Oryzias latipes: one gene and its partners. The protein of the gene in region 7 interacts with the protein of the main gene of each other region in a pairwise test. Links are inferred from orthologs where the notes say so. Each region holds a gene or a part of one and is shown on either strand. Other genes may lie near its edges. The genes, in order: casr; refilin-A; pelo; hspb7; thrombospondin type-1 domain-containing protein 4; fatty acid-binding protein, liver-type; filamin-A.

Region 1 (2,929 bases), on a different chromosome or scaffold from region 7:
TTCACATCAAACGCGGAGCCAAGCTTTTTATCGAAAAGAGCAAGATTCTCTGGAATGGTCATGGTTCCGAGGTTTGTGAACTTGTGTTAGGAAAAAAATGTTTCTGCAATGTTTTATGGCCATTGTACAGTTTGGAAAGGTTTCTTGAAAGGCATTCCCACCAAGGAAAGAAAGTTTTTTAGCCATCCAGATGCATACATCTTAGTGACTGTGGCTTACACAAGCATTATAAGGGATTTTGTTCATGTTAAACTTGAGATGACACTGCACATTGGTTATTTTATTCTAGAGCTCCCAAAAATCCAGTCTGAGTGTATTTTTAAGGATGATTTCCTGCTAGACTGAGTTTGTTTCCTTTAGAGCCTGCTAGGGATTGCCAAAATGAAAGTGGTCTTGTTGTTCAAACTGAATCCGCCCCAGGAGAACATTTTCACATCGATAGTATATTTCTGTCCTTACTATGTCCTGCAGGTGCCATTCTCTAATTGCAGTGAGGACTGTGAACCTGGCACGAGGAAGGGGATCATCGACAGCATGCCCACATGTTGTTTTGAATGCACAGAATGTTCAGATGGAGAATACAGTAATCATAAAGGTATTGAAATGAATAATAATCAAATCCGCTTCACACACTACTCAGATTTTTCTAAAAAAAAAATGTTGTTTTTTTTTTCAATTAATGCAGATTCCAGTGTTTGCACCAAGTGCCCAAATAACTCATGGTCCAACGGCAACCACACATTCTGTTTCCTGAAGGAAATTGAGTTTCTCTCCTGGACTGAACCATTTGGCATCGCTTTGACCATATTTGCTGTGCTTGGTGTTGTTTTTACAGCTTTTGTAATGGGGGTGTTTGTTAGATTTCGCAACACTCCAATTGTAAAGGCTACAAATCGAGAGCTGTCCTACGTGCTTCTGTTCTCACTCATCTGCTGCTTCTCCAGCTCTCTAGTTTTTATAGGAGAGCCACAGAACTGGACATGCCGTTTGCGCCAACCAGCCTTTGGAATAAGTTTTGTGCTTTGTATTTCATGTATCCTTGTGAAAACCAACAGAGTTCTGTTAGTATTCGAGGCCAAGATTCCTACAAGTCTCCACCGTAAATGGTGGGGACTAAACTTGCAGTTTCTTCTTGTGTTTCTGTGCACATTTGTGCAAGTCATGATATGTGTGGTGTGGCTTTACAACGCCCCTCCCTCCAGCTATAGGAATCATGACATTGATGAAATCATATTCATCACATGCAATGAGGGTTCTGTGATGGGTCTTGGATTTCTCATCGGATATACCTGCCTTTTGGCAGCCATATGCTTTTTCTTTGCTTTTAAATCACGCAAACTACCAGAAAACTTCACAGAAGCAAAGTTCATCACTTTTAGCATGCTCATATTCTTCATTGTTTGGATCTCTTTTATCCCTGCATACTTTAGTACCTATGGAAAGTTTGTTTCTGCCGTGGAGGTTATTGCTATTCTGGCATCCAGCTTTGGGATGCTGGCTTGCATCTTCTTCAACAAGGTCTATATCATCCTGTTTAAACCCTCAAGGAACACCATAGAGGAAGTCCGCTGCAGCACAGCAGCACACGCCTTTAAGGTGGCAGCCAAAGCGACACTTAAGCATAACACATCTTCAAGGAGAAAGTCTGGATCATCAGGTTCAACGCCATCTTTGACAATGAGCTTCAAAACTAATGAGGACTCAAATTTAGACATGAATAGGCCACGGGTGAGCTTTGGTAGTGGAACTGTCATGCTGTCCTTGAGCTTTGAGGAATCCAGAAGAAGTTCTATGTTGTAAAACAAAGACGTGTTTTTGTCAGACTTGGGCTACGTTCATTCAGTCTTGGCAAATCAGTGCAAATGTGTGTGTGTACGTAGAGAATGGACAATACATTTGCTCCGATGAAACTCAAGCTCTTCAGAAAATTGTACAAGGAACCCAGCACAGGCATCTGCAAGAGGAGCATCATTAGGAACAAAGATACCAGCAGCCTCACAAAACTAGTTCATAATTCTAGGATATCAAAGGAGAGAACAGTCAAGATGCCTCAACTTGCAAGAAGCTCAAAATCTATTGAAATCATGTCATATTTTGTAAATGTTATCCACAATTGAAGATTTTTCATCTGACTCACTCTTTCAATATAATAAACTTTAACTATTTATGTAGTTGGTAAAAAAAAGTTTCTTTTTGATAATTTGCCTTTAAAATATAAAGTCTTGAAATACTGATTATTAAAAAATAAATAAATACCTTTAATGTTGTTAAAACATTTTATCTTTGAGTTTAGTCACTTTTTTCCCCCTCTGAGTGAAAGGTTAAGCTTTACAGTGTTTTGCTGTACTTTGAGCTGTGGTCTTGTAAAGTGAAGCAAAAACATATTAAATGTACACACAGAAACAATTATTAGAGAGCAAGAGATAATCACAGCAAACTAATTGTTTCTTGGGTTATTGTTCTGTCACAGTTTGAAGTGTTGCGACCGGTTTTCAACAATAATAATAATAACTATTATTATTATTATTATTATTATTATTATTATTATTATTATTATTATTATTATCATGTTAGTTAGATTCGTATTTAAAAAAAACTGTGTTTTAAGCAGGTGTGGTGAAGAGATTTGACTTAAAGACAGGAAGGGAACCATTGTTTTAGATGTCTGGTGGGACTGAGTTCCAGAGTTGAGGAGCAGAGTAACAGAGTTTCTGAAGAGGTTTTTACAGAAAAGTAAAAAGTAGTAAATGTAAAAAATATGAACATTCCAATTATCTTGAATTAAGGTAAACTTTCTCACAGTCCAGTAGTAATATAAAAAAAGCAATGACCAATTTTTAAAGGGCGAGTTTGGTGTTCTTCTAGAAGCATTTTCCATCTGTTGCTTGTTTTTCTCTAGTATCTGACAAAGGCAAACAGAGCAACCCGG
Region 2 (4,566 bases), on a different chromosome or scaffold from region 7:
CCCACTAATCAATACATGATCAGATATATGAAGACTATTGACCCCAACTGTACTTTTTGTAAAGAACACCCAGAAACAATCAGTCACCTATTTTGGAATTGTAATACTACTAAAAAACTTTGGAAAGATTGTGCACGTTTTATAAATTATAAATTAGATTCACAATATCAGATGAAATTTGAACATATCATATTTGGCCTACACGAAAAAAATATAAGATCAAACGTAAAATTGGCAATTAATCTAATTATAATATTTGGTAAATTTCATATTCATAAATCAAAGTTTTCTTCATCACAACTTTTTTTTCCTTTAATAATTAAAGAATTAGAATCTTATTTACATACTATTTCTAATAGTTTAAACAAAAAGGCCATACATATTTATGAAAACTGTCTGTCTCTGAATATTTTCATTGCATAGCATCTGCAATCTTTTTGTAATACATGTACCATCCCCTGACATTGTTGTTGTTATGACTATTGTTCCTGTCATACATATTTGATCCATTTGTGTTGAATAATAAAGTTCATTAAAAAAAAAATGAAAACAAACACCATGCCTCCTGATTACATCCCCAAGTGGCAGCATATGTAGATTAAAAAGTAGTGGGCCTAAAATTGAACCCTGGGGGACCCCACATTGATTTCAAAGACCTTTGGTGAGCATGTATCCATACTTGCATAACATCTTCGATCTGTGAGATAGGAGTAAAACCCCTTTAGTACAGTACCAGAGATGCCCAAACCTCTCAGACTGCTGAGTAAAATACTGTGATCTACAGTATCAAATGCTGTTCTCGTATCAAGTAGTACCAGGACTGAGAGTTTCTGACAGTCCAGGTTACATTTAATATCATTTACTATGTTAACAAGGGCCGTTTCTGTTCAGTAGTTAATCCTAAAATCACAACACAGACTGATACTTTTAAAAAGTCATTTAATTGGATTAAAACAGTTTTTTTCAATCATTTTACGTAAAAATGCTAAGTTAAATACTGGTCAATAATTGTGATGACCTTAATTACTCTTCTTCAGAAGAGGCTTCACCACTGCCGTTTTAATGGCAGCAGGAAAGACACCTGTCTGAAAAGAAGAATTTACTATGTTTAAGAGCTCAAACTCAAAGAAGTCATCAAATGTTTTTAACAGTGATGTGGGGATTGGATCTAAAAGGGAGAAATCTCAATAACCATTCTCGCCTGTTGGTCCCTGTCATCCTGACAGAACCAATAAAACAAATAAAAGACATAAACAATCAATAACTCCTTTTTAATTCTAAATTACAGAATCAGCCGCGCAGCAAAGCGCGTCTCAACGCAGGGTGCCAAACTTCACAGCTCAGCAGGAAATGTGGGATCTGTTCGCCCCTACCGGTGGCGCATGGAAGTAATCCAGATCATGAGGGCTGGACTCAATCCAGGTACAGAAAGAACGAAAAAAAAAGCCTGGCAGGATCATCAGGAGTGAGCTCTCTTCTGGAGAGCGCACGCAGACTCGTCTCAGTCATACGCGGGGACGCAAAGAAGAGGAGCTCTCATTCAGATCGCTACCACACGAACAGCCACTTTGTGTTTTGTTGTGTTTTTGGTTGTTTTTTTTAGAGTAAACAACACTTAAACCCGGGTTTTGGAGTGTGAAAAGAAAAGTGTATCAACGTGACGCACGATTGGAATATCTTTAATGATTAAAGGACGCGCAGGTACAGTACATTTTGAAGACAAAAACAGATTAGCCAACATCTCTCTGGATGGAGATCTGTTCTGTTCACAAGGAAACGACACTTTTTTTTTATTTCTGTTCCTTTGTGTACTTCCAGAAGTCGACAAAAAGTCAAAATTGTGTCTTTTCAAGCAACTTGGAGCACAACACGGAGGGGAAAGTGTGATTTTTGTTATTAGTTTTCCCCCTCATCTAATTCCTCCCAGAAATGGTGGGGCATTTGCACTTACAAGCGATGGATGATAGTCTAAAAGGAAAGAATCGAGAGGGGCTGCTCGACAGTCCGGATTCAGGGTTGCCCCCAAGTCCCAGCCCGCCCTTCTGCTCCCTCTCTGCGACTCTGCTGGAGTCGCGCTCCGGCAGCTGCACGACGCCCGTGGAAAGCCACCATGGATTTTACAAAAAGGAACGCCGAGAAGGCAAACTGGTAAGAGAACAGGTCTGTGTTCACTGCATTTTACTGTCTTAAAGTCTGGATTGGAATCATTTTAGATTCATTGACGCGCGCAGATCAGGTTGTTATTGAACAGTAAAGTAAAAACTGGAAACTTGCTGGGAGCATTTTTTTTGGTCAGTCTAGAACATCTGGAAGCTTTCTTTCCCCTGTCCCAGAATGAGATTCCTCAGTGGCATAATTGTGATCCTGCTTTCAGGCTGAGGATGTCACTGGCTCTCATTAAACTGCTGCACAAACCTGTTTGGTGTTTTCACTGCTGGGCATCAGGTGTGACCGTACCACACAGGTGCCCCCGAAGGTCAGATATTTTGAAGGTCCTGTCATGTCTGGGCTGCAGTCTCCTCTTTGATCTAGGAGTTTTGTGGACTTTTGGCAGTTTAATGTGAGAATAATCACTTTGTTTCCTCCTTGGACAGCTCAATTGACAGAGAATGGTAATGTTCTGTGACAAGGAGGCATGAGGCCCATCAACCCTGTCATGTGGGCTGAAATGATAATCCTACACATTTAATCTCAATAGTAGGCGCTCAGAAACTGCTTGTTTTAAACCAGTTTAAAATGATAACTGGTTCCAGGTAGAACCTACCCAACCTGTTTGGCATGATGCTTCTTCAAAAATTCTTAAAATTTCTTAAAAAAATCTCACCAATCTCTGACTGATAAGAAGTTGTACTTCTGTTTTCTGCTGTCAGACTTCTACCTCCACATGCATGGTGAGTGAACATCAGGAGGCTCGAAGCTGAAAGTGTGCACAGGCGCGCCTTCACCAATGACGGTCCATCGTCTCTGCTGCAACAGAGCCAGTCTAAGTCAGATATCATCCAAACCAGAAACATGCCAGTTGTTTACCCTCTGGTTATCACTGCAGCTTCCCTAATCTTCACAAAATTAACATTTTAACCAAAGTGCTGTGTTTCCATCAAACGCACTATCCACATGTATCTACAGGCAATGTACTTTGACCATTTTCCACTCTAACAAAGGCTTCATTGGCAATGTGGTACACGTTTTGGTCTCTTAAAGGTCAAAGAAGTTTTGAGTGTTTCAACCTGCGGTGACTTGTTTGCTGCACCAGACAGGGTTGGTTGAAGTGAAAGTCATTTCCCAGTTTTCAGGACTTTAAGATCACGGTTCTGCAAGTTCAGATTGACTTTAAGTTGTCAGAAGGAGGCTTCAACAATGCAGGGGTGCATGGTGCGGCTGCAATTAGTGAAACTGTCTGGTTTTTTGCTCCCAGGAATTCTAAATAAGCTGGCTTTTGGGTTTGTTTTTGTAAAAAAAAAGAAAAATAAAGAAAGAAAAACTCACGCTCTGTGTAACCCTTGTGCTATCTTAGATAGCCCCACCCTTACATTGACATGTTCTCCCTACCAAGACAAAGGTGGATAAAGGTGGAAAGATTTCATGTGATCCATGGACACCAGTGAAGATCACAAATCATTGAAGAAAAAAGGTTCAGCACACTGTCTAGTGGGTCTAGATGACCCAACTCCCAATGTTAAAGTGGCTAGGATAGCACAAGGCTTACGGGTGACTGAAGCCGTTGGAAATGATTGCATGCATCTTCAATATTTTGCAATTCAACAAACTGCTGTCAAAGGGGATTTAAATGTATGCAGGAAAAGCCAATTCTTTCTAAATGCATTATGAAGAAAGTTACAAGATCTACAAAATAGAGAATAAACAGCTCAAAGAAACTGATTAAGTGATAGTGGATCAGTCAGAGCACTATCTTTCAAGCCGTGTTTCATGAAATGATACAGATGCTCATCCATGCACATCAAAGAATGCAAAGTGTGAGGGGTTTGCCATCACAAACAGCCAGCAGCGGGAAAGCTGTGCTCATTTTTCCCTCAGTAGTCCTGCTTTGTTGCTCAGCTGGAGAACATTTCTTCTGGGCCAAACTGTGCTTCCAGGCAGGCTTATGCTTTATGTGCTTGTTGGTAGATTGGCTGCATGGAGGTAACTCACCCTCCATTCACAAGTGTTTGCTTTACAGATGCTGCCAGAGTCCTGCATGGAGAAATGTGCAGAATGCTCTGGAGCAACGAGGGCAAATAATCACACAGTGGTACAGTGTGTTCAGACCATGAGGAACCCTGGGACAGGAATCGAACGGCTTGCAGATATAGTTTACTCAGCTTTAACTGAAGCAAAACGCAGCAGCTGTGAGGATGCAGTAAGATGAGCTTCACACTGCGCCCTTGGCCTGCTCTTGCTCGGCTCCTCTGGTGGCATGTGCAGAGGGTGACAGCATGTGACAGCCTCCCCCCTGTGCAATGTGAGAGGTGCCAGGGTCGTGGTTGTGGTTCACAAACACACCTGCAGGAAAAACACAGCCAAATGTGAGATCTCTACTAAATCGTTTAAATATACTTGAAACACGCA
Region 3 (4,703 bases), on a different chromosome or scaffold from region 7:
ACAATGTAAACAATTAAATTATAAATTTAATAAAAAAAATTAATACATAATTATTAGTACAAAGGTAAAACAAATTCTTAGAGGTATAACAAAATACTGTTACAACAGAATCTTTACTGTCACATTTTATAACATCATTACCCATTTTATATTGTACCTTTTAGAAATATTCAAAACATAATAATTACAGAATAAAAAGTGATGAAGACAGAATAAGTAAATTCGTTTCATTTACTTACTTTTATGTGTAAACGTTCTTATTTTCAAGTCTAACTTTATGAATAAATAATGCTTTTTTGGGAACTATTCAGACTGACCTCTAAACAGAGACTTGTTTTGTGGACAAACTGACTTGACCATATTTACAAGGATTCTTGCACATATTTGGGATTCACCAAACACCCATCCAAATTGGCGTCAAAAACAAGTACAGATACCGAAATAATCATAATGTAATGATACAATAAATATAGTAATAAAAAAGCACTGCGAATAATAACATCAATACACACATCATATAGACAATTGCAAACAACAATATGTGCCTAAGCTTACTGGTACAATTTTTAATACTAATCAAAATGAAAAAATGTTTATAGTAAGGTAAACAGCGAATAAACAGAAAAAAGCGACCATGTTAAATTTAATAATGTTGTAAAAATGCCAAGCAAAATATTGGGATTTTTCTTTTCCAAAACACATATATAGATAAACCTGAATTTTAATTTTAAAAGATTCCACCATTAGAATGAATATCAAAGGAAAAGTCGAACTGTTTTCTAAATATACCACAATTAGACTGAGACAATTTTGCAAGACGCGGGAGATGATTAACTTGCTAGCCTAGCACCGGTGGCTATCGTTGTCTTCTGTTAGCTAAAATGGCACCGAATGAACAAATATCGCCAGAAATGTCTTACCTTCTAGCAGACGTTGTATAATGGAGTCGATATTCAGCTTGTCGGCTTCTGCCATGCTATTCCCCTCTTTCGTCGGGTTTGTTCCCAATAGTAAAAATTCGAAGCGTACTGTCGCTTACCGATTTAGTTAGCCTAACTACTTTTGCGTTAATCGGCTATCGTCGTTAGCCCGCTAGCTAGCTAACCTTGGGGAATGATCGACAACCTCAAAATTTGAGGATTGAAACGGATTTGTTAAAAATATGATGGATGACATGTGCTGCACAGCAAAAAACCTATCTATATTTCAGGACAAGATTTTTGAATTGTTTGATATCAGTATTTCCTCGTTACGTCGCTGTTTCTTTCGTATCTACTAACACCATGCCATCGACCAAAAAAAGAACAGAAGATCGTTAGCTCAAAGAAAGGTTGAACGGAAGTGGCCTGTCTGTTTTCGCGTTGCCATTGGTCCACTTTCCAACATGGGCGGGACTTTTCATTCAATCTTGCTTCTGATTGGCTATTTTGAATGTCCGTCAGTATTAACTTTTCTCAAAAAAAAAAACCCCGCAGCGTAAGGAGGACAGTCGTTTCCTGATATTATCAAAGTTTAGACATATAAATAAAATAATATCTTTCTTAAAACAATCAAATAATAAACTATTTGTGTGCACCCATCCAGAAATGTTTGACTTTGGTCAGCTTCGTTTTTGTTGCGCAGTGAAGCAACACCCACGGAAGTGACTTTGATGGGAAGAGCTGATGACGTTTGTTGGCGTGACGCAAGCACGCATTGGCTCTCAACAGGAGCGATTCATTCTAAAGTTCTGACATGGCTTAGTTTAGCTTGTTTACCTTAAAAAACAAAACATGTATCGAGCTTGGCTTAATACAAGTTTTTCACTTTCACACTAATATTCATTTTGTATTTTAAAGACCTTTCTACCATGAAGTTGCTCCAAAAAGATATTGAGAAAGATAATGCCGGGTGAGTGAATGCTTATAGCTAGTAGTGCTAGCTAGCTACCATCATACTGTTTTGTAGTTTGATAATAAATAAACACAATAGTTTTGTTGTACGCAGGAAACGTGGACAATACTACAATTCTTTGTTTACATAGAGCACAATATAATAATATGATATTCCATGTTTTAATATATCTGTACCGTTCCACCAAAGAAATTGTAGCTGACTGCTCAAAACAATAAGGCTTAACTGTTATAATATTTGTGAACCAGCTTTAATGTGTAGAATATTTTATATGAGGAAATGCTTTCTCAGTCAGGTGACTCTGGTTCCTGAAGAGGCAGAGGATATGTGGCACACTTACAACCTTCTCCAAGTGGGGGACAGCCTCAGAGCTTCAACCATCAGGTGACTTTTCTTTAGCCCTATCAACTAAAATCCTGTGGGGCTGCGCGGTGGTTAGCGCTCTCTTGCCTCACAGCAAGAAGACCCCCGGTCCGAGTCCCGGCTGGGGGACCTGAACCAGAACACCAATGAGGGACCTTTCTGGCAAGTTCTCCCCGGGCATGCGTAGCTCGTCTTTTCCCCCACCATCCAAAAACATATTTCATAGGTTAATTGGTGACTGTAAATTGTCCCTAGGTGTGAATGTGAGTGTGCATGGGTGTTGGATTTGTGGCCCTGCAACAGACTGGCCACCTGTCCAGGATGTCCCCTGCCCCCACCCACGTGTGGCCGGGATAGACTCTGGCAGCCCCGCGACCCCGAAAAGGACAAACGGGCTTAGAAGATGAATGAATGAATGACAGGTTTCAGTGAATTTTTCATTTAGGTCCAATCTATCTAAGACCTATCATTTTTGAACTATTTAAAAAACGTTCCCGCTAGTCTATTGATTATGATGATGCCATTTTTAGCCAAAATATTTATATATAAGAGATGTTGTTTTCTAGGACATAGTTTCTCCAGAGGGGCAGTACAATACCGTAGTTTACTAGAAATTCTCCTCTAAGTTGTTGGTGGGTCAACCCAACCCCCCTTCCCCTCTCTGTTGCTGAGAGCTCTTTGTTTATGCACTTAAACCCAAACATAACATTATGGATGCAACAAAAATGGGGAACAATATTGGAGCTATCCAGCTATACAGTTTTGAGCCAAATGGCAGCTCAGACAAAGGAAAACAAAGACCTACATGGATCTATTCATCTAAAAGTGAATGCATTAGAATGGAGCAGAGCAGGAAGCTTGTGGCCCGCCCAAAAAAAAGCCCTATTTTTAAACATTTGTTTATCATTCACGATTATTTGAATAAAGACAGACTCAGAAATGCAATTTTGAGCTTACGGTACTTCTCTTTATACATGTCCTCCATCATAATTATAAATGCCGCAAGAACAAGGTAAAAACACCAAAAACACAATTTTCATCGCTGCCGGTTTTAAGAAAAAGAGTGCAAATGCTAAATGGAACTAATGTTCTGTCCCATGTACTCGCAGAAAGGTGCAGACAGAGTCTGCTACTGGAAGCGTGGGCAGCTCTCGGGTTCGGACCACTCTGACGTTGTGCGTGGAGACCATCGACTTTGACACACAGGCTTGTCGGCTGAGGGTGAAAGGCACCAACCTTGAAGAGAATCAGTTTGTTAAGGTCTGAGAATTCAGATCGACATTGGTTTAACATTTTAGATTTTCTTTGCAGTTAGATTTGTGTATCTTTTTCTGTTCTTAGTCGCATCTTTCATTTTGTACTTGCTATGACTGTATCAAGATTTAACTGAAGTCAACAATTAGGCCTTATTTAATCGTAAACTACACATCAATTATGGTAGAACAAACTCTCAAGTGTTTTTAAATTGATCAATATTTGTTCTTATTTAGAAAATTAAAAGTTGAATTATGATGTTAAACCTCCAGGCCTGAGATAATTTTCCAGATAGAAAGTGGTAATATTTTATTCTTTTTTTTTTAATAGATGGGAGCTTATCACACCATTGAGCTCGAACTCAACAGGAAGTTTACTCTCGCTAAGAAGAGCTGGGACAGCGTTGTGCTGGATAGAATCGGTGAGCAGCTGTTACTGTAGATGAGAACAAACAGAATTTGATGAGCATTGGTAATCATATCTGTAAAGACATATTCTTTCAGGATATTTCCATAGCAGAAAAAAAGTTGTACAAATGTTGATGAACTTTAAAAAAATTCCTGCATTGATCAGCATGGAATAAGTACCGGTAGTTAAAAATCCAACAAATGTTTCTATACATTTGAAAAAATGGTTTAACTCACTTTTATTCTACTTTTAATAATGAAGCGTTTTTCCTTTTTGCTTTAGAACAAGCGTGTGATCCGTCTCAGAAGGCAGATGTGGCTGCAGTGGTGATGCAGGAGGGTCTGGCGAACATTGTGCTGGTGACCTCCGCCATGACCCTGCTCCGCGCCAAAGTCGAGGTCACCATTCCGCGCAAGAGGAAAGGGAGCTGCAGCCAGCATGAAAAGGTTCATTCAATCAGGAAGTCTTCCAGTTCATTTTTTATTTTTTAATAGCCCTTTCACAGAAATCGTAGTGGATCATATTGTGATGAATATGAGCAAACTTATGACTGACTGACAGTAACCAGGAACAACACATCAGCACTTCCCATTAAACAACAATGAATCCCAGCCAGATAATACAGCCTTCTTACCATAAAAGACTGCCACTCATAGCATTCATGTTTATTGGTATATATAGCTTTAAGTTTGATGACAGGTGAGGAAGTACATTTGTGATTAATTTGAAATACAGCATGCAGCTGTATACATTTTTAAAGTTATAGGTAGGATTTTTAATTAACC
Region 4 (4,803 bases), on a different chromosome or scaffold from region 7:
CCCCACCCTTACTTTGACGTGTTCTCCCTACCATGACAAAGGTGGCTAAAGGTGGAAAGATTTCATGTAATCCATGGACACCAGTGAAGATCACAAATCATTGAAGAAAAAAGGTTCAGCGCACTGTCTAGTGGGTCTAGATGACCCAACTCCCAATGTCAAAGTGCCTAGGAAAGCACAAGGGTTACCAAGAACATGTTGAAAAAAGGTATCAGAGAATGGTTATTCTGACAAATATAATGACTGAGTAAAAGTGGTTTATTTCTGTTTAGAAGTCTATGAGATTTTGGCTTCTTGGAGCCAGTGTGTACTTCTTGTTTGGAACGCGAGGGAGGAGGGATCACTTAGTCCAGCTCTCACATACAGACAATGCTAAAGTAAAAGTTTTGATACACAACTGAGGCTGATTTGACAATTACCAATTACCCAGTGATGCTCAAAGATGCCAAATGGAGCTTCCCTGATGTTTCTGAGTATTTTCTTGCCTCATTAACACCATCAGCTTTGCATTCAGATGTGGACACCTTCTCCAGAACTGCCATCTGTTAATCATCCAGAGGGAGACTCTGCATGGACTCCAGGGATCATGGTGAGCCACGAGAGAAAAAGCCTTTCCCAGCATCTGTGGTGTAAAGCTGACGGTGAAAACTGCTGAAGAAGACATCTGAGTCTCTGTGGTTCCACTTTTCCTCCAAAGTGAAACATGCTTCTAAGCTTCCTGAGGTTTAATTGGAGCTTTCTGCCTAAGAACCGGGCCAGCTGTTGAACACAAATTAACTCTGTCAAATCAATAAACACAGCTTGACACAAAAAGTGTTTGGAGTTTGATCTTAGATGTGAGGAGCCTCTGCTGTGAATGATGCTGGCAAACTGAAATATTGCTGAATGTCATGTTTCACCTCATACACGAAACCACAGGACTCTGATCTCTTTACTGTTGCTTTGTGACACTGTTTGTAGATGTCTCAACAATCATAACAAAAAATCATTACTGCAATCGTCATAACTCTCATCACAACTATCGTCACTACTGTCTTGTCTGCCTTTCCTGCTTTGTCCAGTGTGCGTTATGGGGTTGCTAGAACTTATTCAAACCACTACAGGCAAGGACACTATGAACAGTTTACCAGACTACTGAGAGGTGGGTGGACACACACACATACTGGTTTTCATGCACTTTTACACAGAAACCTCAAACACACCTTGAAATTCTATTACAAACAGATATATGCAAACAAAAACACACATGCACGCACACATATAGACACAGAAACATATACTACACGTACACTCACACACATGCGCACGCACACACACACGTATACATACACTAACACACACATTTGATTTGAACCTTTTCTCTAGGGAGAGAGTGTTAACTACTACACCACTGTGCTGCCTCCTGAAAACAACCAAAATCATCCAAAAAAATTCAGCCAGAGGATGAATAAAATATATTTTATCAAATATTCACATTTTAATCATGTGAAGTGATCAGTTGATCAAAAAAAAAAGCACTTTGTCTGCATTGCTGGTGACGTTTCAGTTTGGGTGCATGGTCAGGATGACCTGACTGTTGAAGCACTTTTCTATTTCTGTCTGCATCTGTGCACCCCCCTCTATGTTATCTGTAGTGTGTATTTGTGTGTGAGTGTGAATAAGAAGTCTCCACTTACTATCAGTTTGTCCGTTACACTCTTGGCTCTTGTCGTTGGAAAAACAACCATCTAAGGCTAAAAGTATCTTGAGACCCAGAATGGTTCATGCTAAACCCCAGGCTGAAGAATGTGCAGGAATGCATAAAAGCAGCCAGGATGGCAGGAAGAGGTCCAGCCGTAGTCATAATCAGTGTCCTCCAAAGCTCCTTCTCTGTATTTAGAGTCGACTGGGAAAAATCCTGCTACACTTTTTCATCATCACACAAGTTTTATGAGTAAAACGTTTCTGCGATTCAGTTATGTCGTCTGTGTCCTCCTCTTACCGCTCCTCATCTCGCTACAGCACCTCCAGCACCTATCGATCAAGGGGATCACTGAGCGGATCCACAGATTCCCTCGATGTTCTGTTGGAGCCCTTCCTTGATTCTTCTAACTGTTCCAGCTTGTTTGGAGATGACAGCAGCCTGAGCCCCTTGAGCAGGAACAGAAGTTCATCCAGTGAGCATTCAGGTGAGGGAATCATCTAGTTTTACCATTAAGCAGGCTTAAAGTTACTAAAACATCATTGTCATCATTAGTATGTCATGTTTTGCATTTGTGCTAATGAGGACCAGAGAGCAGGTTCCCATTACACCTATTTTATTGCGTTGGTTCTCTGTTTGGTTCAGGGTTGATCTTGAGGTCCCAGTACTGGTTTTAAGTGTTTTGTGGGTCACATTCCTTCTTACAAACTCTCAAATCTTCCAGCAATGGCCTTTTAACTGTTCCTACAGTAAAATCAAAAACCCACAGTGAGGTTTTTTCACCGTAGGTTGTAAAGATGTGCTTCTGCTCTAATAACCTTCCGAGATTTTGAAGATGAGGCCAATTATTAGCTGTCCATGGCTAATTTTATGTTGTATTTTTTAACAATTCTTTTATTCCCACATCATAAGATTTCCTTTCATTTATTCTGATTGTAGTTATTTTGTAATTTACGTCTTGTGTTTTCTGTTTTTACTTTTCAATTCCAACCAAATTCTAGTTTTAGAGAGCAAATGTTTGATTCCAGTTTTCTTATGACAGGTTGTCACTAATGATGGACAGTTTTCACAGTGAGCCGTAGAGGCTCGCTGCTCATGAGACTGCTGATTCTGATGGTTCTCCTTATTAGCCACTCCTTCAAGGTTTTCCATGTCTCCTGGACTGTGTTATATTGAGAGTCAGGAAGTAAATTGTTTGGGGGTTTACATGTAATGGGTGGAAGATGTGTGGTTACTTTTTAAGAAGTAAAACACTTTGTAATGAATTTAGCTGTATGAATAAAGTTTTGATTGATTGATGTTGATCAGTGCACTCCTGAAAATTGGTCCACAAGCACAGTTTAAAGACAGCACAAACATTTAATAAACAACACAAAAACTTTAAAAATATTTAAAACTCAAGTTAAAATGAAGATGTAAAGTATGAATGTAATGTATTTTATTTAAAGAAAAAAAAATCTTTTACATTGTGCATATTTCAATCAGTCAACTACTTAGCACTTTTCATCTACAAGCTGTTGAGCACAAGGTGCTTGACAGAGGAATATATGTTATTAGTTAAAACAGTAAAAAGTCATAAGACACAATCGATTAAAAGGAACAACATTTAAAGCAAACATAAAAAAGAAAGACAATGAAATGGCTAAAATGTGACGTATTTGACCATAAAGCTTAGTTTAGCATACCACATGTATGTCACACATATGTTCATCAAAGAGATATTAGTGCAAAATTCCAATTCACATGTGGAATAATCACAACAATAATTCTCCTCAGCAGATATGAATAGTAAACTCCCTTGTTCTATCCTAGGCACTTTAACATTGGGAGTTGGGTCATCTAGACCCACTACACAGTGCGCTGAACCTTTTTTCTTCAATGCTTTGAGATCTTCACTGGTGTCCATGGATTACATGAAATCTTTCCACCTTTATCCACCTTTGTCATGGTAGGGAGAACACGTCGATGTAAGGGTCATCCAAGATGGCACAAGGGTTTACATGGATACATGTTTTTTTGTTTTTGTTTTTTTTTACTTCATCTTCTTGTTTTGATGACAGTTTAGGGTTTTCTTAAGCAAGGTTTTTCTACTTTCCATATTCTGGAGCTGACATCCTTCAGTTGTTCTTTTTTGTCTCCACAGCTTCTGCAGGTGGAACTGTGGCAGGACTGCAGACTGGAGCAAGTAGCGGGGTGCGATGTGTTGGTGATACTTACTACATTTCTGCTGATGTCAGCCAGTTTGAGCCACAGGATATTGTAATTATGGCCTACAATCAAAAAATCGTCATTCAAGCCCAAAAGGTGAGTGACGGAAGGAACCCAGGCTGGTTCCATTTCCTGTTCAGGTATACAAAATCTGATTACTTTCTTTCTTTAGGACTAAGTCTTCTTTTGGTTGTTTTCTTTGAAGCTGATTATCCAAATGAGACAAAGACCTTAAGTATCAGATGAATGTAACCTCTGTTTGTCAAGATGTATGTGTATTTATGAGCCTTTTTCATATTGTCCATGTCCATCTCAAAAGAAACAGTAATGGTGCAGACCATCGCACCTTTTTCAGATATAATTTTTGTCTTTCGAAAGAAAACAGGTTATCTTATTTCAGCTATCAGGATTTAAACTAAGATACCATGTTTAATTCTGCAATTCAGTTCTGTCTTTTATATATATATATATATATATATATATATATATATATATATATATATATATATATATATATATATATATGGTAAATGGTAAATGGCGTATACTTATATAGCTCCTTTCTTCCTACAAGGACAAAGCGCTTTACAGTCACAGACCCATTCACCCAGTCACACACACATTCTCACACTGGTGGCGGCTCCGCTGCCAAACACAGGCGCCCGCCTACCACCAGTATATATATATATATATATATATATATATATATATATATATATATATATATATATATATATATATATATATACTGTATATATGTAAAGTGCCTTGTAAAGTGCAGATAAAGTCCATTTTTTTTAGCTTTTTCAGTTTGACTTTTTATGATCAGTAATGCCAATATAATGATTATTCCAGTTTTATGTGTACCAATGTGTAGCCTGCTGTCCGCTTGAAATCCAAACCTGCCCTTAACC
Region 5 (4,564 bases), on a different chromosome or scaffold from region 7:
TGGGGGCATCTGGGATCTACCATTTTGGGGAGGGGTGCTGTAAGGGTTCTGTGGTTTAGTAATGATATTATGTTTTGGCCATGTTCTTGGTTGCCCTTTCTGAGTCAGACCAGTTTCAGCTTAATCACCATCCACAGTTGTCTTCATTTCAGTTAATTGCCCTCAGTCCATTTAAGTGCCTGGTTTTTAGGTAAACTGTTCTGCTTTTTCACCCTCTTTTGTTTCTCCATGTTTTTTGTGTGTGTTATGTTTCAGTGTATTTATTATATGTTATGGTTACTGCCACCACACCTGATCTCTCCTCCAATTTAGGTCCTACGCCACCAATTCCTGAGGGGCTGTAAGCTAGCAGCACAGCGGGTAAACAAAGGGATGATGGGAAAGGAGGGCAGGCTTACTCTGCACCAACAGTGCCGCCCACAACTCAGAGGTGAATTTCTGAATGATTCCTGCTGCTTTGCAGAAACTATGTCCTAGAAAATGACACGTGTTTTTTTTTTTAAATTCAGCCTAAAACGGCCTAATCATGATTAAAAGACTAAGGAGACTTCAATATAAAATTAAGCATTTTGGAGTAATTTCTTAAAACATGTCATCTTTCAAATATTACATTGATGCCAGTCCTGATTTGAGTGAACAGTATAAACTCCATAAAGGCTTGTGTGCATCCTGAGCCTTTTCCTTCAAACTGAGTTACGTTTTATTGGTTTAGAAATCACCAGCCCTTTCTTGTACACGTGCCGCTGGAGAAATCTTGTAAAGAACCTATAATTTTTTCCTGTGTGTGTGTGTGTGTGTGTCACCATGTCTCCTGAGGGTCATTTGACCTAAGTTACTCATTTTAGTAAAGTGTCTGGCTGGGCAGGGCTGTGTGGATTGTCATTTCATCATGTTTAAATGAGATGGCATCAGATGGTTTTTCACATCTGTTTCAGCCCTCACACACACACATATGTAATCATACACACTCAGAGAGGCACATTTCAGCCTCAGAAGTGGCTTGTCTCCTGGGTGCACTTATCCCAAACACCAAATTGCTGAAGCATGTTTGGTTTCTGGTGTTTCAATGGGATTAAACAGTGCACAGAATGCATGTTTTTCTCATGTAAAAATATCTGCTTGTTTTTCAAGAATGGGGGGGGGGGGGACTATGAATCATATTCAAACTGTAAACCACATCATTTGAGCTTGTCAGAGTGTCAGACTCATGAGATAGTCCCTTCCCAACTTTCTTGAAGAAGGCTCAGGATCGTCTGCGCTCATTATTATTCAGTGTGGGAGAAAACGCACAAGGAAACGTTATTTTTTCTTTCTCGATTGTGCAACTAAAACGAGGCTCTGAGGATTATTATTGCTTAGTCAGGACCAACAGTTTGTGAGTATGACAGAGAGAGAGGGTAGGAAGGCGTGAGGGAGAGGAGGGGGAGTGTATAATTTGTGCATGTGAGAGTGAGAAGGAGCCCGAGCGAGAGTTGTATAATCTGTCCATTTTGTGTCTCCCCTCTCCCTGCGTCTCTTTGTGCCCCCACCTGGTTTTCATGCGTCACGGGAGTTTATAATAAGGAAGGACCTGTGAAAAGTTGTGGACTGAACGGAACACACGGAACTCCTCCCGGTGACAGAGCAGGAGCAGTCCTCGCATGTCTTTCAGGCTGGAACGAAGCTCAGATTTGGACCCAAAGCATCACTGAGAGTGTCAGTGTGCAGGAGAATTTTGGAGCATGCAGCTCGGTTCACTGATCAGGTAAAAGTCGGTCCCGTCCAGCTGCTGACTGATTCTTGTCGCCGCATGTGGATTTGCATCTTTCCTTGAGTGTTTGTGCTGACTGTCTCTACGGTGGTTTTGTTGGTGCGGGAAACTTTTACGCGCGAGGCTCACTTGTTGCGCGCCGCTCGCTGCGTTAAATGGTTGGAATTTACCCAGAGGCGCGCATTTTTGAGTAAAAACTGTGTGTTTCCACTCAAATTGGACTTTTCTGAAAGTATTTGTCAGTTAAAGGTTTCTCTCACCCTCTCCCTGTCCTCTCAGTGAGTTTACTCTGCAGTAGCGGCCGTGGAAACGTGGAACCGCGTAGGGGGTCGTTATTTCGGCCTGAGCAGCTCTGTTGTGTCGGGCTGTCCGGGACTTTTCTCTGTGTTTTTCGGGGGTAATTGTGTATTGCAGCGTGGGGAAGCTTCCAGAGACCGCGGCGGTGCACCACATTGGGTAAAACGAACCAATTACACTGCCTACATGTGGCTTGCGGACTGGAGATTGCGGTGATGGTTTGGTTCTCTTGGTGAGCGCTGCAAACTTTATCCCAGCGAGCCCGGCTGTACTTGCACGGTCAGAGCAATTTCTTGGCAGACTGCAGGACGTTATTCCACTTGTTTCCACTGCACTTGTCTCAGAATGTTTGTGTATGGGTGAGATTTTTCTAAATAGATCCGACATTCGCACACAAACAAGTGAGCTTTTGACACTTCTACAGAAAAAGAAAAAACTTAATTTTCTCTTAGAGTTATCCCAATTCCTGACCTCCCTGCAGGAAAACCGTCCTACCCCAGATTGTTTTCGATGTTGGCTCATTAAGCCTGTGTGTGGTTATTGCATATTAGTGTTAAAACCACATCCTCCGGGTGTGTGCAGAGGGAAAACACGCAAGTGCTTGTAAGCACTTCCAAGAGTTTCCCAGATTGATTGAGACGTTTGAACCCCGAGGTCATCGTGAGATTTGTCATCACTTTTCCCGACAAACACCTTTCCATTCAGGTGAAACAGGTTATTTAGTGAATGGAACATTCCTATACCTCAGCTAAATAATGTAAATTGAAGGAAAATATTTGAGACAGATCACATAGGCTTAGAATAATGAGAGTCTTATGTGTGAACGTGAATGGCTTCTAGCTGCACTTTTAGGTCATGGAGTACTGATGTGCTTTAGAAAAAGAACCCCATTCAGCTGCTGTCATTTTTAATCCTGTGATTCTGCCACTTCTCTCCCCCTCTGTTCTGCATCCCTCCAGGCTCTGTGTGCTGTTGGCTTCTGTGGAGGTCACAACCTCCACAACCAAAGCTGCCAAGAGGAAGGTGAGTCATTAGATCATCCAGTTAGGTCAACACATGACTGAAAAGTCAGGTTGACACCCCCCCCTCTCCCTTTCTGTGTGTCCCAAAGCATGAGACCAGAACAGAGAAAGTTAGAAATAACCTTTTTCTTATCGTTATCCTCTCCTGGAGACCAAATACTGTCATGCTTTGATGAGCTATTTAACCCGGTGACAGTAAATGTTACTGATTGCTCAAACAGGGATTAAGGCAAAATCATGCAAAGGGGCGTGCACTGCTGGAGGGTGTGTTATTTAAGTCGAAGCAACAGATAAAGTGATTTTAAGGCTTATCTGGCACCAAAATGTCGCGCACACACCAGCAGAAACTCTTTTACCTTAAAATATGCTGTCATGAGACAATCACCAGGTTCTGTTTTGGTTGAGTGGCAGAGACAAGACTTTGCCAAATGATGTAATGCTACGTAAAAGTCTAGTTGACCTTTTTTTAATCGCTGTAATCATTCATTGCTGGATCTCATTGTAGAGACGCTTAAATCCTTTTAAAGGCAAGAGGGTTTGAGAAGCCTTTTTTGCTCAGGAAAACAAAATATAAATTATACCATCATAGTTAAAATAATTAAAATTTAATCTAAAGCCATATTATTTAATCCATCACTCAAAAACAGTAGTGAAAGCTTCTTTTCCAATGAAAAGTTATGTGTCTGCTCATGTTAAAAGTCACCTTTTTTTTTAATAAATTGTGATGCGTGTGTTTATGGCAAAGTTCAAAGGACCTCCAGATTTATGAATACAATAAGTATCTTGTAAAAAGTTTTAGGAGCAGACCAAAATAGCACCTCAGTGGTGCTGCAGAAGTTAAAGTGGTGGCTGCAGAGGTTAGCAGTGGTTGCTGCAGGGTCACTGCTCACAGCTCATTAATGCTCCCAGTTATGTGGCAGCTGCAGGTTAGATGCCACCTGAGACATGGACTTGGACTTAAAAACTCGAACTTCAGTATCGCCTGCAGAAACTTGAGGCAGAAACAGATAAGCAAGTGGACAAAGTTTATCTGTTTTTTTTCCTCTTTTTTTTTTTAGCTCCAGGACATCAATGTCAGAAAAAATAAATGAAAACTGTCTTTACACAGCGTTTGCACACCACTGGCTGTTATTGTGTCCCCACAAGTTGTTTAAAGTAGTTTAACAACAATTTGTGACAATAGAATATTATTTTAGAAGTTTTCGGACTATAGACTTGTCTTGGATTTGTATCCAAATGCTTCAAACTTGATTTAAAGGGCCTATAGCATGCTATTCTTAAGCTTTTTTGAGTAATCTACATTCATATATATGATAATAGATTACCTTTGGCACACTGAATAGCAAATTTTCTAATCAAATATTAATTCCTTTCCTGAGTTCTTTTCCAGCCCATAACTAGGACAACTTGATATCTGAGGCACCGGCTTTCGCTCATTTGGGTGTCGCACATTTCATGACGTCAACCTAGAGCTGGCCTCGGCAGCGTGTCTGCG
Region 6 (3,338 bases), on a different chromosome or scaffold from region 7:
TTTTGCTCAGCTATAGTAAATTCTGAGCCAAAGTGTTTTGATACATATTTGCATCAATAGTCGTCCATGGGTTAAACAAATGCATGTGCCTTTCTCCTTTTTACTAATTTCTTTTGAATTCAAATTTTATTTTATTGTCTACTGTCTTTTTAAATCTCTGACCAGATACAACAGGCAGTAAAATGAGTGAGAAAGAAAAGATTCTGAACTTTACTTTGTCCTTTTGATCTAATGGGTTTATGAACCATAAATTGTGATAACAACAGCTTATAAAGATGCAATAAATTGTTTTTTTGTTGTTGTTTTTTTCGTGGAAACCTGATCATAGAGAGTTGCACCACAGACCAGTCCTGCTTTATGGAGGAGAACGGAGACGACCAAAGCAGCCCGCTGGAGGTCAGCGACCCTGCTGACATCCTCCTCAGGCTCCTCCATCTGGCCGGCCACACTTCTCATCGAATCCACCAATGAGCTGCTCCCAACAGTCCCGTGGCAACAAATCGGCCCTTCTGTATAGTCGTGTTTAATTTTTTTTTTGGTCCATCATCAACTTTGATCTTGGAGTGCTTCTATAGGGTGCATTGATTGATATTTTTTATGTATAAAACTAGGGATGAACACAGAGAGATCATCCAGAAATCTGCATGCTGAAATAAAGTTTGGACACAATAACAAACTCTGTCTTGCTTTACTTTAAACTTGTTTCCTTTTCACTGTAATTACAAGGTTAACATTAGCCATATCAGAGATAATAGATGATTATTTTTCCTGCTTCTCCTTTAGACTCTCGTGCGGTGTGTGCCGTCATCTCACCTTCACTCTAAGAACATTGCTATTGCAAAATTCAGAGTGATTATCTAGTCACCTTTGACCAACACCAAACAGCTGCAGTTTATCCAGAGCAGGTAGAAAACTTCAGTGAAAATAATACCTCAATCAAGTGTTACACCAGTGCAAAGTAGATCTGTTCCTAATAAAATAACTTATTTAAATTTGGCATCATTTTACTGACGTTTCTATGGAATTGAAAGCTGCAGCACAAAAGTAACAAGCGTTTTAGCATGATTTACTTTCATATGAAGGCCTGCAAAGCGTTTTCTTTCTTGGTCATGTCTGGATGCAAACTTTAACTAATCCAGGTCAAACACAATATTTACCTATACAGGATAAAATATTCCAAATCATCTTTTCCCTTTCTATCCTACAGTATAGTGTAGTTTAAAAAAAGGCAAAAAGAGCAACAACAACAACAGCAAAAAACAATCGGTGGGACGATTTGAAAGAACTATCGAAAAACAATGTTAAAAGAAGAAACAGTAACCAAATGGACAATAGGCTATAAGGAAAGAGAAAGCTGAGAAAAAAAAATGTCACAAGGGTCACTCGTGTGTTTAGGTCCTTATTTGTACACATCAAAATATGATCAGATTTACTGCTTTCTCCTCTGAACTTTGGATTACCAAATTTGGTCTGTTAGCTCTGTGTGTTGTCCAGCTTCCTGTCGACTCTTATCTGTAGTGGTTGATTTCATGGTGAGCTCAGCTTATCAATGAAGCCCTAATTCCAGTCAGATTGTATAAATTATTAACCCCGTGGAGTATAAAAGTCTACAATTGCCAGCTGTTTGTCTACCTTCACTACAGCAGCCATTATGTCTTTCACTGGAAAGTACCAGCTCGAATCTTCGGAGAACTATGAAGCTTTCATGAAAGCTGTTGGTGAGCTACCATGTGGGATTAAAATGTGATGGTTTTTGCCTTTTATGCATTTAACTAAAAGTTTTCTGCCACAGGGATTTCTGATGAGAACATCCAGCTAACTAAAGGCTTAAAAAGCATCACTGAGATGGAGGAAAATGGCGACAACTTCAGAGTGACGGTCACCACAGGATCACATGTCATAATCAACAGCTTCACCATTGGGCAAGAAACTGAGATGCTGTCTGTCACTGGAGAGAAAATCAAGGTAAGCAAAAATGTTTTACTCATTAAACATGGCAATGCTTTATGATAAAAAAAAGATTTAAACATCAAGTTCTGTTGTTTGATTTGAAGACAGTGGTGAAGAAGGAGGGCACAAAGCTTATGATGAGTCTGAAAAGAGCGGACATTGTCACAGAGCTGGTGGATGGAAACACTTTAGTGACGGTAAAAATGCAAATGGACTTTGAGTAAAAATTGCTAAATCGAAATAAAATTTAAAAAGTATAATATACCGGTACTTGTGTTTTCTTTGCAGACAATGACTCTTGGCGACATTGTTTACAAGACGACATACAAACGGATTTAGTTCAACTGCAGTTGGGTCATACTTGAAGCAGTTTCTGTCAAAAAAAAGGTTGTTTTGGATGACATTAATGACTAAAATCAAAAATTCCTCCAGTCTTAAAATTAGCTCAATTCTGGGCATGGAAGAATCTCCACTTTACATTCCTCACAGTTCTGCTGTATTCATTTGCCAAAAGATCTGTCATGTGGAAATGTCAAAAATAAAATCAACTACAGACATTTCTGAGCGTTTTTTTTTTTTTTTACAAAACTTGCAATCTACACTTTGCTCATTTTTAATTTCTTGTATTTATCCTCTTCACATCACATTTTGGGTTATATTAGTGGCTAATTCTGCTTAACTGGGGCCCTGTTACTATCTTCAGAGGTTAAACAACAATTTTGTTATAAAACGCCTTTGTACCTATTGTACATAATGATATTTTTTATATTATATTTTGTTCGTAGATCACAATAAATTTGCGATTTATTGTGCAGGCCTGGTTCGGTGTAATTTAGGGTTAATTAGATGGGCTGAAAACCACGACACTTTACCAGGACAGTTTATTTTTTAATAAAAGTGTAACTACAAAACATGATACAGAAAATGGCTGTGTCACTTAAATGTAAAGACTGTCATTTCCACACTCAGAAACGCTCAAGTGTTCACATTACACAAGCTCTCCGGACTCTAGCTGCATAAGGAGTTACTTCCTCCGGTGGAAGAGATTCTTGATTCCTTCTTCCACAGACTTGGGTTCATGCAACATGGTCATGGGCTTGTTTTTCAGGGCGGCTTCTCTCATGCTGTGGTAAACGTACTCGTTCTGTTTGAACATCCTCAGTTCCATCTCTGTCTGCACACGCATTGCCTGCACATACAAACAAATTCAGGTTTTTCCATAGTGCTATAGCTGTGATCCAAAGTATGCAAGTTGATTCATTCAGACAGACAAAATGTAATATTCCTCATGTAAAATTAGATGTTTACCTCAAGGTCCTTGGTGATGGGGTGTGTTGGACCATGTGTGACCATGAGGATAGCATAAGCCTTGCAAACCATGCCATGTG
Region 7 (4,715 bases):
TGTAAGAAAACGTCTCCCTCTGTTGGGGCTTTGTATTACAACTTCATTTAACACTTGAAAAGGGGCAGAAAATGTAAAATAAACAAAGCATTAATATCAGGGTTCAAATGGCTCCTTTGATAATACGAGGTAAAAATTTTAAGTTTAAAAAACAACAACAAAAAATCTTTATAACATGGCCTTCACAAGTTTATTAAGGTTAATGAACTGTTCCACATAGAACCAGAACCATAGGATGGGCTGCAGAACTGCAGGTGGTACGTGAGTTAAAATGTTTGTAAGACATAACCTTCATGAATCAAACAAGCATCAAACTTTGACTGAGTACAGTTTTCATGAGTTTAAAGGGTGAGTATGTGAAATAAAAGTTTCTCTTCCAGAGCTGCATCTTTTCTCAGCAGCTTCTCATCCTCTACATCTAAAGCGAGCAGTTCAAAAAAATAAAAAATAAGCACAGGAAGTTAAACAATGTGAGCAAAAACATTGCCAACCACATGGCACACAGTAGAGAGAGTCAGAGATTATGCGGTTTTCCTCCTCAGCCTCTCAAACTGGTGCCAAAGAGAGCAGAGCAAAGCAGAGCACGTCAACTGAGGACAGGTTTCCTCCTCAGACCTCCCTCTGCACGCTCTCCTATCAGCATCACGTCCCTCGCCATTTTTTCTGTTGTCATGGTAATGCCAAACCATAAAAGATGCAATGTCATAAAAAAGTCAGAGGTGTTTTAGAGACATCTAGCTCAACAAAAGTCATTGTGTTTCCCCTAATTCCTGAAAAAGGAATTCCACTTTGAAGTCATTCTATGACCTCAACCAAACATTCTTCTGACAATGAATCAAAAAACTGCTCCAGAACCAATATTTTCACCCGAGTACGGTTATTTATTGTCCCAGATGCTTTCAAATAGTGGTACACAGCAGCCAGTCTGATTTCAGTTAGAACGACCCAATCTGAACATTTGCTCGATTTGATGAACGTTGTGCCTTTAAAGTCTCATTCTGGTCAGCTTGTGATCTATTTTCAAAGTTTTCCCAGTGGTTTTTTAACTATGATTGTGCTGTTTTCACCCCAATTTTTTTTTAAATCTGTTGTTTTTTATGTCATAGTTTCTGCAGGGCGGCAGGTGTTGGTTTGAAATGTGCCTCTGAGTTATGGGGCGGGACCGTAAGACAGCCCTACCTTCTTATCATCCCTTTGTTTACATTCTCTCCTCCTATGGCTTACAGCCCCTCACTCCCACAACAGTGCAACAAAAATGGCGAGCAATATCTGAGCTATCCACCCGTACAGTTTCGAGCCAGATTCCAGCTCGGATGAGGAAAACCAAGACGTTATTGTATCTATTTTTTTTTTTATAAATGGATGCATCAGAATGGAGCGGAGCAGGGAGTTTGTGATCTGCCAACTGCATCACTGTTACGGTCTTTTACAAACAGCATTTTTCCCGTCTGCTCCGGATTCACGATTTGAGTAAAGAAATACTCAGAAATGCAAATTTGAGCAAAATTAGCTTTAAACGTGTCCTCCATTATCTAAAAACACAATTTTGGGTCTTTAACCATCCATAAAGTTCTCATTCATGAAATTTAGAAAATTCTCAAAACTCTGACCCAAAATATGATTTATTTGAAGGATATTTGCTACTTTTGAATTGTTTTCATATGTTTGTCTTTTAAGTTATCATGTATGGTCTTTTGTTTGAGGGCTCAAGCTATTTAATTGATGGTTTTATTACAATTGTTCTATGAACAGCAGCAGAAGAAAAAAGAAGTGAAATTCTCAGAAGTGTTGGAAAATTCCAGGAGCACAGTCAGATTTTTGGTCTTTTAGTTTCAAAGACTATAATCAAAAGTGGACACAGTCTGGCTTTCATTTAAAAAGGGCAGGTGAATTAAATTCAGTGAAAAAACAATCAAACAAATTCAAATCCAACACATTAAAAGCTTCGATCTCACTAAGCTTCATGAGGCATTAAACCCAGTTTGGATCCAAAGAGCAGCTTCGTGAAAAGAAGCTGAGCTGCAAACAGCTGAGGCTCTTCTGAGCCTTTCATTAACCAAAAATGCAAAAACGAAACTCCGTGCTGGATCCTAGATTCAGAGCAGCTCCACCTTCTTGTGAAGGAACGAATCCACCCACACCCCCCATCCAGCTGCTGTTTAACCAAGACTTAAAGGTTCAGTCGAGCTGTTTCGTAGATTTGAAGCATTCTTTTATGACCAGTTCAAACTGGTATTTAATTAAAAGCACTTGGCAACAGTTGAAAGAAAAAACACCGCAGATTTGAGTTGCATTCAACAGCGGTGAGGGGTCACTCAGAACCCAGGAGACCTCAGAATACCAAAATTCAAAATGTGAAAGTTTTAGACACGCATTACATATGGAGACATCCTTTAACAACTCTGCCCAGAGGTTATAAAGTTTATTAAAAAAAGACAGAGAAAAAACTCTTTCCAGAGGTTACCTTAAAATGTAGATATGTAAAATATTCCTATAGATGACCTTTGGGGGTCATTGTGGTCAAACAGTTTGGATCGGATTTAAGACGTTTATTTTAATTAATTTTAATACATTTTTAAGAATATGATTTGTTTAGCTTTAGTTGGAAAATATAAGCCAGTTTTTCCAAAACCAACTTAACATTATTTGTAACAAAAAAAAATACAGACGAAAAAAAAATATTATTTTAGTAGTTTGAATTCATTCCAAAGAAAATCTTTTAGTTTGTTCATTTCCACCTGGTCGCCGTCTCTCGTGCACCAGGTGGCCCCAGAGTTCTTGTTGCGCCTCGGGATCTGCTCCCAGCTCGCGCGCGTGTCCACCTCTGCCCCCACTAGTAAGAAAAGGCAGCATCACGAGCCCTCATCCCACCCCCCGAAGGATCTGTCTGTGTTTTCCCTTATTTGGAGCGGAGCCCCGAAACTGTGATGCCGCCTGCAGAGAGGCGCGAAAGTAGCGGAACATTTTGGCGTAAAAACTGAGGATCGTCAAGTTAGGTTCTACAGATCCTCCACCAGCAGAGCTGGCTGCAGCTGAACATCAGGGGCGCGAGACTCACCTGGTCGTGCCGTGTCGCGGGCGCGTGGGTCCGCTGTGGGTCTCAGCTGCTCCTCTGTGATCGCGCTCTCACAGGCGGAATGCGTAAGTGTGCGTGTGTTCCTCCAGTCCCGGACCGTCCTCCCCACGCGCACTCCCGGTGGGGGAAATGATGTTCTTGCTGCAGCGTAAAACTGAAGAAGGACCGGCCCCTGCGCGCACGGTCCCCCCGCCCCCGCTGCTCCTCTGTCGGGAGGGCCTTAATTGGTAAACGGGTGAAGCCTCAGGTTTTTTTTTTCTGTAGAGGAGACGTCATGACCGCGCCTGTGGGAATTTAAAAGTATGATGTCACCTGCCCCCCCCCCCCCTGGGGGTAACACCCCCCCCCCCCCAACCTCCTTTCGAGCGCTCATATGAACGCGCGCACAGCACAGACTGTTTCATCACTGCTGCTTTGACTCAACTTGGGGTTGGTTGGTGCGCGCGCGCGTCAATTCACGCGCACAAAGAGGTTCTGCGTGCATGCTCTCCAGCTGAGCATTGGCTCAGGAGACAAAAATGCGCGGCCATTGATGCCTTCATCAGTGGGGAGGGAGGAAGAGGAGCAGAGGTGCAGCCACGAAGAGGTCAGAGCCTGACTCAAAGTGTGATGGATTTAAACGATCCAGCCACATCAATGACATCATTCTGAAAGTCTGAGGTTTTTTCATCTGTGTTTGGATTAACAAGAGCCAGATGTTTGCCATTGTGAACCTCCTGTCGTTTGTTAGCAGTGAACACAGATATTTTTATAGATGACAGGAGACTTTAAATGTGTTGCAATTCTGCTTTTATTATTAGAAAACTTCATGAATGAACAGCTTCTTTGGCTCTGAGAGAAAGGTTCCGGTGGAGATTTTTTAGCACTTTAAAAGGATCAAGTTTTACTTGCGTTAGTTTTACTGTATTCTAAAATGAAATCCTAATTAATCAAACGTTTCAAATGAATCCAGATTGAATGTTTTGGTCCAGTTTGAGAGCATTTTTACATGTATTTATTCATCAGTTCAGTGTTTGCTCTCGATATGGATAAACAGGATTTTAAAGGAAGACAATTTTTTAAAATTTAAATTAAATTTTGAAATTGATGGATTTTTTTTCCTTTTGTGTACATAATTACAGAATTTCACGTTTTACATATTTTTTTGCACATTCTAATTTTTTCCTATACGCCCTCACCCTTGCTAACTGCCTCAACCCGACCCACCTCTACGCACGACCACCGCCCTCGCTGCCCTCGCTGCCCTCGTCTAAGCGTCACCGCCGCTTTCACCACCCACCTTTGACCCGACCTCACTTGCTGAACAGCCACTACGCACATCTAACTCCCCCCCGTCTCTTTCTGCAAGGCCGTCTGAACTGCATCCAACTGCAGGTGGCTAAAAGTGCCAGCATTATCAGCATCATTGACTGTCTCAAAAAATACATTGCTTATGATGCTAATAATGCTTATTATGGTAGTTATGCTAATGTGGCTGGGACAAGTTTTTGTTTGTATTTGGTACTAAAGGACCTTTTTTTTTTTTTAATTCAAGATATTGGCCTATACCCGAGGTCAAAGGTCAACAAAACTCCAGACTAACTTATTGACTTAAGTTAGCAGCATGTGTGTGAAATTTTGTGAAAATTGCTGTCAAAAA

What was found.
Region 1: the proteins of filamin-A (region 7) and casr interact in a two-hybrid assay, tested with the Homo sapiens proteins (2 studies listed by BioGRID). The link is inferred for Oryzias latipes from reciprocal best matches to the Homo sapiens genes FLNA and CASR.
Region 2: the proteins of filamin-A (region 7) and refilin-A interact in a two-hybrid assay, tested with the Homo sapiens proteins (2 studies listed by BioGRID). The two-hybrid records come from large-scale screens. The link is inferred for Oryzias latipes from reciprocal best matches to the Homo sapiens genes FLNA and RFLNA.
Region 3: the proteins of filamin-A (region 7) and pelo interact in binary tests that used the Homo sapiens proteins (3 or more experiments, as listed by UniProt). The link is inferred for Oryzias latipes from reciprocal best matches to the Homo sapiens genes FLNA and PELO.
Region 4: the proteins of filamin-A (region 7) and hspb7 interact in binary tests that used the Homo sapiens proteins (3 or more experiments, as listed by UniProt). The two-hybrid records come from large-scale screens. The link is inferred for Oryzias latipes from reciprocal best matches to the Homo sapiens genes FLNA and HSPB7.
Region 5: the proteins of filamin-A (region 7) and thrombospondin type-1 domain-containing protein 4 interact in binary tests that used the Homo sapiens proteins (3 or more experiments, as listed by UniProt). The link is inferred for Oryzias latipes from reciprocal best matches to the Homo sapiens genes FLNA and ADAMTSL4.
Region 6: the proteins of filamin-A (region 7) and fatty acid-binding protein, liver-type interact in binary tests that used the Homo sapiens proteins (3 or more experiments, as listed by UniProt). The two-hybrid records come from large-scale screens. The link is inferred for Oryzias latipes from reciprocal best matches to the Homo sapiens genes FLNA and FABP1.

What each region holds. Positions count from the first base shown.
Region 1 is NC_019872.2:14,171,020-14,173,948, reverse strand, and holds the end of casr (extracellular calcium-sensing receptor), read left to right. Parts: coding exon 1-71; intron 72-471; coding exon 472-1,800; 3' UTR 1,801-2,233; downstream 2,234-2,929. UniProt on the Homo sapiens protein: G-protein-coupled receptor that senses changes in the extracellular concentration of calcium ions and plays a key role in maintaining calcium homeostasis.
Region 2 is NC_019867.2:20,472,811-20,477,376, reverse strand, and holds the start of refilin-A, read left to right. Parts: upstream 1-1,442; 5' UTR 1,443-1,701; intron 1,702-1,818; 5' UTR 1,819-1,929; coding exon 1,930-2,160; intron 2,161-4,566. UniProt on the Homo sapiens protein: Involved in the regulation of the perinuclear actin network and nuclear shape through interaction with filamins. Plays an essential role in actin cytoskeleton formation in developing cartilaginous cells.
Region 3 is NC_019877.2:7,512,291-7,516,993, reverse strand, and holds the start of pelo (protein pelota homolog), read left to right. Parts: upstream 1-1,448; 5' UTR 1,449-1,849; coding exon 1,850-1,890; intron 1,891-2,184; coding exon 2,185-2,277; intron 2,278-3,365; coding exon 3,366-3,516; intron 3,517-3,840; coding exon 3,841-3,931; intron 3,932-4,200; coding exon 4,201-4,364; intron 4,365-4,703. Other genes in the region: serine/threonine-protein phosphatase alpha-2 isoform, read right to left, coding at 921-975. UniProt on the Homo sapiens protein: Component of the Pelota-HBS1L complex, a complex that recognizes stalled ribosomes and triggers the No-Go Decay (NGD) pathway.
Region 4 is NC_019871.2:18,813,249-18,818,051, forward strand, and holds the start of hspb7 (heat shock protein beta-7), read left to right. Parts: upstream 1-1,803; 5' UTR 1,804-1,957; coding exon 1,958-2,168; intron 2,169-3,824; coding exon 3,825-3,985; intron 3,986-4,803.
Region 5 is NC_019874.2:19,007,971-19,012,534, forward strand, and holds the start of thrombospondin type-1 domain-containing protein 4, read left to right. Parts: upstream 1-1,431; 5' UTR 1,432-1,721; coding exon 1,722-1,744; intron 1,745-3,006; coding exon 3,007-3,070; intron 3,071-4,564. UniProt on the Homo sapiens protein: Positive regulation of apoptosis. May facilitate FBN1 microfibril biogenesis.
Region 6 is NC_019867.2:7,694,779-7,698,116, forward strand, and holds fatty acid-binding protein, liver-type, read left to right. Parts: upstream 1-1,587; 5' UTR 1,588-1,651; coding exon 1,652-1,718; intron 1,719-1,792; coding exon 1,793-1,965; intron 1,966-2,054; coding exon 2,055-2,147; intron 2,148-2,238; coding exon 2,239-2,289; 3' UTR 2,290-2,509; downstream 2,510-3,338. Other genes in the region: isotocin-neurophysin IT 1-like precursor, read left to right, coding at 329-471; histone-lysine N-methyltransferase SMYD1, read right to left, coding at 2,975-3,139, 3,259-3,338.
Region 7 is NC_019865.2:4,616,539-4,621,253, reverse strand, and holds the start of filamin-A, read right to left. Parts: upstream 3,189-4,715; 5' UTR 3,059-3,188; intron 1-3,058. UniProt on the Homo sapiens protein: Promotes orthogonal branching of actin filaments and links actin filaments to membrane glycoproteins. Anchors various transmembrane proteins to the actin cytoskeleton and serves as a scaffold for a wide range of cytoplasmic signaling proteins.